Macaca fascicularis: one gene and its partner. The protein of the gene in region 1 interacts with the protein of each later gene in a pairwise test. Links are inferred from orthologs where the notes say so. Each region holds a gene or a part of one and is shown on either strand. Other genes may lie near its edges.

The links.
Region 2: the proteins of ALDOA (region 1) and ENO3 interact in a two-hybrid assay, tested with the Homo sapiens proteins (2 studies listed by BioGRID and IntAct, with this or other methods). The link is inferred for Macaca fascicularis from reciprocal best matches to the Homo sapiens genes ALDOA and ENO3.

The regions. Positions count from the first base shown.
Region 1 is NC_088394.1:28,032,071-28,036,644, reverse strand, and holds the start of ALDOA (fructose-bisphosphate aldolase A), read left to right. Parts: upstream 1-1,514; 5' UTR 1,515-1,591; intron 1,592-1,825; exon of another isoform or gene 1,826-3,006; intron 3,007-3,472; exon of another isoform or gene 3,473-3,945; 5' UTR 3,946-3,958; coding exon 3,959-4,099; intron 4,100-4,292; coding exon 4,293-4,425; intron 4,426-4,508; coding exon 4,509-4,574. Other genes in the region: uncharacterized protein, read left to right, coding at 818-931. UniProt on the Homo sapiens protein: Catalyzes the reversible conversion of beta-D-fructose 1,6-bisphosphate (FBP) into two triose phosphate and plays a key role in glycolysis and gluconeogenesis. In addition, may also function as scaffolding protein.
Region 2 is NC_088390.1:5,067,805-5,072,124, forward strand, and holds the start of ENO3 (beta-enolase), read left to right. Parts: upstream 1-1,379; 5' UTR 1,380-1,405; coding exon 1,406-1,430; intron 1,431-1,952; exon of another isoform or gene 1,953-2,016; intron 2,017-2,554; exon of another isoform or gene 2,555-2,657; coding exon 2,658-2,744; intron 2,745-3,326; coding exon 3,327-3,422; intron 3,423-3,582; coding exon 3,583-3,641; intron 3,642-3,799; coding exon 3,800-3,869; intron 3,870-4,239; coding exon 4,240-4,320. UniProt on the Homo sapiens protein: Glycolytic enzyme that catalyzes the conversion of 2-phosphoglycerate to phosphoenolpyruvate. Appears to have a function in striated muscle development and regeneration.

The DNA of each region.
Region 1 (4,574 bases):
GTCAGGAGTTCGAGACCAGCCTGACTAACATGGTGAAACCCCCATCTCTACTACAAATACAAAAATTAGCTGGGTGTGGTGGCTCACACCTGTAGTTCCAGCTACTTGGGAGGCTGAGGCAGAAGAATTGCTTGAACCCAGGAGGCGGAGGTTGCAGTGAGCTAAGATCGCATCATTGCACTCCACCCTGGGCGACAGAGTGAGACCCTGTCTCAAAAAAAAAAAAAAAAAAGAAAAAGAAAAGAAAAATATGTAAATTGCCATTTTCAAAGATACCTAGAAAGATTTTTTAAATCATTCACGAATGCGGTCTGTTCCTTGCAGAGAGCAGATGCACAAAAATAGTGAGAATGAGACCCTATAGTTTGGTCTCATGCTGAAGAAGTCCATAAAGCCCACAAGTCATTTTCATGATGGACAGAAAAATGTATGTGCTTTCTCTGTCTACTGCCTCAACTGCACAGACCCCGGGACTGTAGCAGAGCCATCTTTTGAGCTTAACACTGGGAGGCCCAAATTCTAGCATGGGACCCAGGGCCAGTTGCTCTCTGGTCCTCAGTCTTCTCACCCATAAAATAGGAAGGAGAGAACCCCGAATCGTTGCTTCTAGCTCCTGAACTCAGTTGTTCAGAACAAGGACTCATTGCTGATTTTTCAACAGCACAGAGAATTGCTCTTGTTTCTGGGAATGATGGACAGTACCCTCTGTTCCACTGGGCAAGCGGAACTTCCCAGGCCTCTTTGTTCCCTTCTCCCCTTAGAGAGCAACAGGCTTGGCCCCATCCCACCTACCTCACCCCTCTCTCTCCTCCCTCAGGACTGGGCACCTCGCTGCCCCCGCTGCTGCCCACTCTGCGACTGTGCCTGTACGTGCCAGCTCCCTGACTGCCAGAGCCTCAACTGTCTCTGCTTCGAAATCAAGCTCCGATGAGAACCCAGGGCCCCTGCCCTCTGGAGAGTGGCCAGCCCCCAGGGCCCATGGGCCCTCCTCCCTGAAGAGCCTTTCTCCAGGCCACTGCAACCACAAATGGCCTGCCCAGCACCCAGGCCTGGGAACTGGAAGTGGCAGTGCGGGGCCTGGCTCCCTGCAGGGCGGGACTCTTGGCCGACTGGACGGCAGCTCCTCTGGAGGGCCAGAAGAGAGAGGGGCTACTGCTGGGGCAGGTGTCCTGGCTCCCTTTCCCCTCCCCACGTCAACGATTCTATTTGAAGGTGGGCAGGGGGGTGGCGCTGCTCACCACACACAAGTGTTATAGGAGGAGCCTGGCCCTTGAGTACCGGGTACACAAGGGTGCCCGACCACACTCCGTCCACGGACTCTCGGTTATTTTAGGAGGTGAGTGTAGTGCCAGTATCTGCTCTCCTTCCTAAAAAAAACCAGGGCTCCAGAGAATCAGAACAGCCACCATCACGGCAGGGAGTCTGGGGAGGAGAGAGATTAGAGGAGTCTGGGAGGGTGGCAGGGAGGCCACGTGATCTGAGTCCCCTCATCCCTTTCCCTCCCACAGGTCCCTGGCCAAAGATTTATTTCTCTTGACAATCAAGGGCCTCCGTCTGGATTTCCAAAGAAGAAATTTCCTCTGAAGCACCGGTGAGTGGGCAAGGGCTCCCTCCCCGTCAACAGGGCCGACCCAAGGCTTCCTCCCCCTTACTCCATGCCGGGCCCCAGGCTGGTGTGAATGTCAGGGGCTTCAGGTTTCCCTAAATATAGGTCCCTGCCAGAGGATCCGTGGCGGGAAAAGGGCAGGGGTCATCGGAGAAGGTCGGGGACACGTGTGGGGCGGGCAGGAGCCGCCTTATAACCCAGCCCGGGCACCCCTGGCTCACTCGCTGCTGACCAGGCTCTGCCGGCTCCTTCAGCCTTGCCGCAGGTGGGCCCCTTGCAGGACCGGGCCGGAGTGGGGATGGGGTTGGGCCGACAGGGTCCAGATGGGTCCGGGTGAGGAGGGGAGACTTGGACGGTAGGAGCAGGGGGCTAAGCATCTGGGAGACAGATCAGTTCGGGGACGGATTTTATTTTGGAGATGGAAGTCAGGCGCAAGGAGGGCGTTTGGCAGGAACTGTGGCCCCGCATGCCCGAGGCCGAGCAGCGGCCGGTCCATAGCCGCGCATTCTGGTTTTCGGTGGCGCAGAAGACTACCAGCCTGGCTGCGGCGGCCCAGGCAAAGAGCGCGCACGCATGCGCGACCCAGCCCGGCCCGCCCGCCGGGAGCTCGCACCGGGAGGCCTCGCCTCCGCGCTGCGCCAGCTCTGCTGCCCTCTCGCGCTGCCTGCGCGTCCTCTCGCTGCCCTTTCCTCCGCCTCTGTTACGCCTGGGCCAGTGACTGGGGATCGGCTCCGCGCGGATCCAGCCCGCGGGCGAGGCAGGCTGAGGCACGACTGCGCGATGTGGCCCCGATGGTGACACGCGCCGCAGCCGCGAAGCCCGAAGCTGGGGCGGTCCCGGGCCGCGGGCCCGGCCTGGGCGACGAAACTCAGCCTCCTTCGTTTCCGACTCTTCTATCCGCATCCCCCACTTCCCGGTCTCCCCCTTCTCCAGTGCCAACATTCTAGCTGAGTCACGGCGCCCCAGAGCGCACCAGGCTGGGGGGAAAGGAGCGGAGGGGCGGGAGCTTGCGACCCGCGGGATGTGGCCCGAGTCACGTCCGAGGGGGGTGGGGAGGGATCGTGTTCTCGGCGCCCGCCCCTTCCTAGCGCGGCCTCTGGGCTGCTCCTCTCAGGGGCGGTCCGTAGCCCAGTCTATCGCCTGCAATTGGACGCCGCCCGCTCCTCGTAAAGGAAAATGCTCGGCGGAGGGCGGAGTGGTGCCTTTAAAAGGCCAGGCGCTGCCTTCCTCTTTCCCGCCCCTTGCGCCGCCCCCTCCGAGGCTGAATCGGCTGCGTTCCTCTCGGAACGCGCCGCAGAAGGGGTCCTGGTGACGAGTGCCGCGTTCGCTCACTGAGTCCACTCGCCAGCCCGTCGCCCTCTGCCGCCGCACCCTGCACACCCGCCCCTCTTCTGTGCCAGGTGAGCGCCCCTCTTCACGTGCAGGGACCAGGGACCTTGGAGAGGGATCTTGGGGGCAGTGGCGGGTTGGGCGTCCTCGTGGAGCACCCCACCCCATGCCAGCGTCTCCCTACTAGCAGCCACACACAGGCTCTCCGGCTCCTCCAGCCTGAGGTCCCATAACTGCGCAATGCAGCGGCAGCGCGTGCTGAGTCATGGCGGGGGAGGAAGCCGGATGAGATGAAGGACCATTCCCCTCCCCTTTTCTTGCAGGGACCCCTGTGGCAAAGGATTAGGGCCCCTTAGCCCTGGCGGGGATCCTAAGAGCCACTGAGGGGTGGGGGTCGGCCCGTGTACAGCCCCAGGGTTCTCGCAAGCGGGAGGTTGGTTTCTGCCCTGGGAAACGGGCCGCCCCTCGTGAGGAGGGGAAACCCCTTGGCGGTGCTTGATGCCCCATTAACGCTTTCCCTGTCTCTCCTTATCGGGCGACCTTGATTCTGAGCCCGGAACAGCTGCAGCCGTGCGAAGCGACAGGAGCATTTTTCAGGGGAAGGCGCTTGCCCCGTAGGAACAGTGACGACGGCAAAGCTTACCGCTTTCCTTGCCTCGGGCTAGGGCTTGCTCCACCGCCCTTTCCTGGGCTTCTCGTTGCTCTCTTATCTTTTTCCTAATACCCCTTTCCTACCACCCACCCCCTCCCTTGTGGGGAAAAGCCTGACCTTGGGATGTCCTTGAAGACTTGGAGCCCGAGCCAGTCCTGGGATCTTGGGTGGATTGGAAGGAACACCCCAGTGGCAGTCAGAAGAGCTGGGTTCTAATCTCAGATCTGGCTCCGGGGTTGCTGTGTGGCTTGAAGCACAGACTTTACCCTTATCTGGGCCCTTTCCCACGAGGGTGTTGGGCCCTCTGCTCGATTCAATCTTTACATTCTAAAATACTCCGGTTCGGTTTTGTTTTCAGGCAAGGTGACCCCATGGCAAGGCGCAAGCCAGAAGGGTCCAGCTTCAACATGACCCACCTGTCTATGGCTATGGCCTTTTCCTTTCCCCCAGTTGCCAGTGCGCAACTCCACCCTCAGCTGGGCAACACCCAGCACCAGACAGAGTTAGGAAAGGTACAGGGGCAGGCCTAGTATAGGGAAGTTGGGCCTACGGGAGAGCTGGGGACCAGAAGCGCCCCAGGGCCTGCTGGGTGTGGGGCAGGGGAGGTAGGGAACGTTTCCCTGACCTCCAGGCGAGGAGCCCTGCTCATTGGGAGATGATGGGAAACCCCAGCTAACTAGTCCTTCCCCTGCTTCCTGTACCCAGGAACTTGCTACCACCAGCACCATGCCCTACCAATATCCAGCGCTGACCCCGGAGCAGAAGAAGGAGCTGTCTGACATCGCTCACCGCATCGTGGCACCCGGCAAGGGCATCCTGGCTGCAGATGAGTCCACTGGTGCGGGCAGGAGACAGAATGGGTGGAGGGTGCAGGGTTAGGAGTGGCAGGCTGGTCCCCTAATTCCCATGTGACACTCCCAGGGAGCATTGCCAAGAGGCTGCAGTCCATTGGCACCGAGAACACCGAGGAGAACCGGCGCTTCTACC
Region 2 (4,320 bases), on another chromosome or scaffold:
ATTCAATAGGAAAGCAAAGGGAGTTTGGCCAAATACCCTAGTCGCTCTCATAGCTGAAGGCACCCACCGGGGCCACTTCGGTCCCCAGCGTCTTCCCGGGTAGTGCAGGTTAGGTTCACCAGGGCCCATTCTCAGTCCAGAGGATTGTCCCTTCTCTGGATCGGCTCTAGCCCAGGGCCTTATCCCATATCCCAGCCGCGCCCGCCCCGGGCAGGCAATGTCTGGATCACCGGCCGTGCCCCTTGGCCTGAGTCTGCAGAGGTCACTGAGCGCGGACACCCGCGGGGCTTAACAGGCGGGGCTATTTTTCGAGGCGGAAGAATACTCAAGTTGCAAGAGTGGCAACTTTTTCAAGAAGGGGAAAGTCCCACTTCGGGCCCTTTGGGTTTCTTCTCAGTCAGATGTGCGCTCGCCGCCACCTGGGGAGGGCGGGGCGGCCGGGTGGCGGCCGAGGTGAAGCCGTCTTCTCCGACCCGCCGCCGAGGGCTGGGCCGCTTCCGGAGCCTGGGTTAGGGGCGCGAGGTCACGGAGCGCGGCCCGGGCGGAAAGGGGCTTGGTTTTCTCTCTCCTCCTCCCGAGTGCGGCGCGCATCCCTGGCGTCCACGCCGAACCCCACAGTCCCCGACGCCCCTCGAGCCCGTGTTCCTCGACAGCCGCGCGGCTGAGTCACTGGCGGGCTCGGGCGGGGCCGCACCCGGGCACGTGGCGGCGCTCCCCGCCCGCCATCTCCTGACCCCTGACCCGCCGCACCCCCACCCCAGGGTGGAAAAATCCCGGGAGGAGCGGCCTGAGATGAGAGGGCGGGGCAAGATGGGAGACGGGACGGGTGGCGGGCCAGGTGGCTTGAGGTGGGGGCTGGGAGGCCGCGCTGGCCGGCGGGGCGGGGAGCAGGGGTGGGGAGAGGGAGGCGGGGGTGAGTCACCGGGCGCGGGCTGCCCCGGCGCCGGCGGGAAGGGCCTCCGAGTCGAGCCCCGTGACCCCAGCCGTTCGGCTGGCATGGCTGCAGAGGAGCTCGGGGCAGACCCCGCACTGGCCCCAGAGCTGGCAAGGTGGAGATCTCTACCGAGAGCAGAGACCCACCTCCCCGCAGTGCTACGGCGGGGCGCCGGAGGAGCCCCAGGCGTGCAGAAGCTCACAAAGGGCCACCCGTCCTCGGTCCATTCATTTTTGTTCACTGTTGATTCAACCCCATTCATTGATGGGCTGGGGCCGTGCGCTGAGCGCCCACAGTCGGTGGGGAGAAGGGCTCTGACCAATAGTCCCCATGCCGGGCGACAAGTGCTGTCCCAGCGTTATCAATCGGGCGCCGCGCCAGCCGAGAGGGCCCGTCTAAATTTGTCTCCTGGCCCCTAATTCATCCCCACCCTGGCTGGCCTGGAGAGGGTAGGATGGGGCGTCGCCGATAATGGCCGTTATGAGGACCCTAAGAGGTGAGACTCTCTCGCCTTCTGGGGTGGGGGGGTTCAATTTTAGACGTCAGAGCTTGCCCAGAAGTCCCCTCCCTTCCCCCACTGAGGGCAGAGGCCCGCCCAGCGATCTGAGCATGTGTGGATGTCAATCCTGCAGCCCCTCTTCCAGGCCCCCTCCCCAGCCTTGCAGGGCTCAGGTTACCCCTGGCCTTTCCTAAAGGTCACACATTCCTCTTGACGTTTGCAAAAGGGGAATGTAATCCTGGGGTGGGGGAGACCCCTCATCTGAAGCCCCTCCCCCGCTCCTCCCAAAGGGGAATTAAAACTGGGACTGTTACTGGGGGACGGAAAGAAAGTGGGGGATAGTAGTTGACCTTTGGTAAGGGGGCAGGTGCCCAGGGCCAGAGGCTTCTGCTTTAGGCTGTAGTGGGCACTTGGCTGCCAGCCCAGTGTGAAGGGGGGAGGATGGAGAGAGAGAGAGGCGGGGCTGGCTGGGGACCCAGTGGCTCAGGGATAAATGCGCAGCCCGAGAGGGGGTGAGCTGACACTGTCCCAGCTGCCACCTAGACTCGGAGCTCCATCCAAACCTCCAACGAAGACATCCCAGGTCAGCTAAATCTTCCAGCCCCCGGGGTGGACGTAGTAAAGGGTGCGCATGGTGTTGAGTTGGAGGAAGTGGGGGACGTTTCTGCTTTTTTTTCTCCTGGGACTGGAGGTGCTTGAAAAAGCTGGGGGAAGGGGCGGCTGGAGCAAGCAGATGGGACAAACTCTGGGAGCACCCAAGGATCTAGGGAAAGGAGGCTGTGAGGAGGGGCAGTAAGGATGGATAGAGAAGGGCAGCTAGAGTTGGAACCTGGTAGGGAACTGGGGGCCCAAGAGGATTTCGGAGCAGGAAAATGAGAACCAGAAAGGATTTGAAGGCCACCAGCCGTGGAGAACAGACTGCTTGACCAGAGGGTGGAAGGAGAAGGCCTAAGTGCAGCCTTGGGGGAGGTGGGGGCTTGGGGAGTGATGGCATCCTAGGAGCCATAGATGAGAGGCCCCTGGATTCTTAGGATGGGAGGGTGGAATAAGAGCTATTCTGAGTGGGGGAGGGGGCTGCGCCTGCCTCTTTGGTCTGTGACCTTTTTGTAGGGTATTTTTAGCTCCAGCACCTGCCTTCTTGGAGTGGGGAAGACTCTTAAAGGGCAAGGGATTTCTGGTTCCTTAAGAGATCAACTGTCTACCCTCACACCTCCTGTCCTGCAGCCATGGCCATGCAGAAAATCTTTGCCCGGGAAATCCTGGACTCCAGGGGCAACCCCACAGTGGAGGTGGACCTGCACACAGCCAAGGGTAACATAAGGCCCATTGGATAGGCTCGCCCCAGAAGACCCCAACCCTTTGGCCTTTACCCCCCAATTCTGTGCCATATCCTCTCCTTTCTCTCAGGTTCCCTTTCCCAGACTTCTTCCCAAGCCCTCTTCCAAAATGGAACCAGAGCTGGAAGCTGGGAGAAGAGAAGCAGGAGTCTCTGCGCTGCCTCCTGTCCCTGAGCTCAGAGAGGATACCTCAGCCCTTTGAGGGGTAGAGGGGACTCCCTGTGAGCTCTTTTTTTTTTTTTTTTGAGACAGTCTCGCTCTGTCACCCAGGCTGGAGTGCAGTGATGCAATCTCGGCTCACTGCAACCTCCGCCTCCCGGGTTCAAGCGATTCTCCTGCCTCAACCTCCCAAGTAGCTGGGATTACACGCCTGTGCCATCACGCCCAGCTAATTTTTGTATTTTTAATAGAGACGGTTTCACCATGTTGGCCAGGCTGGTCTTGAACTCTTGACCTCAAGTGATCCACCTGCCTAGGCCTCCCAAAGTGCTGGAATTACAGGCATGAGCCACTTGGCCTAGCCATCCCTGTGATCTTCCAATTCCTCCTGCCTCAGGCCGATTCCGAGCAGCTGTGCCCAGTGGGGCTTCCACAGGTATCTATGAAGCTCTGGAACTAAGAGATGGGGACAAAGGCCGCTACCTGGGGAAAGGTGAGGAGACACCAGTGCAGAAGGAGTCTGTGTGGGTGGCTTTAGGACATGGGTGCACAATGGGTAGAGGACTAGAACCCCCAAAGCTCTTGAGGAGCTGGGGTCCACAGAAAGAGGCCCAATTGATTGAGATCCAAACCTCGTCCTCTGGCCTGTCTAGGAGTCCTGAAGGCTGTGGAGCACATCAACAAGACTCTAGGCCCTGCTCTGCTGCAAAAGGCAAGTGGGGAAGCCGGCTCCCTGCAGTCTCCTCTCCATGCCCCTGCTCCCTCACCCCAGACGCGCCTCTCCCCATTTTCACTTATCCTCCCCTTGTACGTGCCCTGACTTCTGAGAAATCTGACCTCTGCTCTCCCCTCTCAAACCCACCCTTCCAGAAACTAAGTGTTGTGGATCAAGAAAAAGTTGACAAATTTATGATTGAGCTGGATGGGACCGAGAATAAGTGTGAGTGAAGGGCAGCGGTGGGGAAGGGTTGAGGTATGGGAGAGATGGTGAGAGGCCACAGGGGTGAGGCCTGATGGGTTATTTCTGGGTCCCCCATTTTGGGTCACACCGCAGCTGGATGGATTTGTGTTCATTCCACAGGCATTTCCTATGCCTGCCCTCTGCCAGGCCTGGGCTGGGCGGTGGACACAGACATGCAGCTGACACATTCCCCCGGGGTGGGGGCTCCCAGAGCTACTCAGGTGGTGGGAGAGAGATCTGTTAACCAATTCTTCATGCTCAGTGGTTTGGAACTCTGGCGTCTTCTTGGAGTAGCCACCCCAAACCCGGAAGAAGCTCTCATCCTTTCTTCCCGCTTGCCTCCTTCCAGCCAAGTTTGGGGCCAATGCCATCCTGGGCGTGTCCTTGGCCGTGTGTAAGGCGGGAGCAGCTGAGAAGGGGGTCCCCCTGT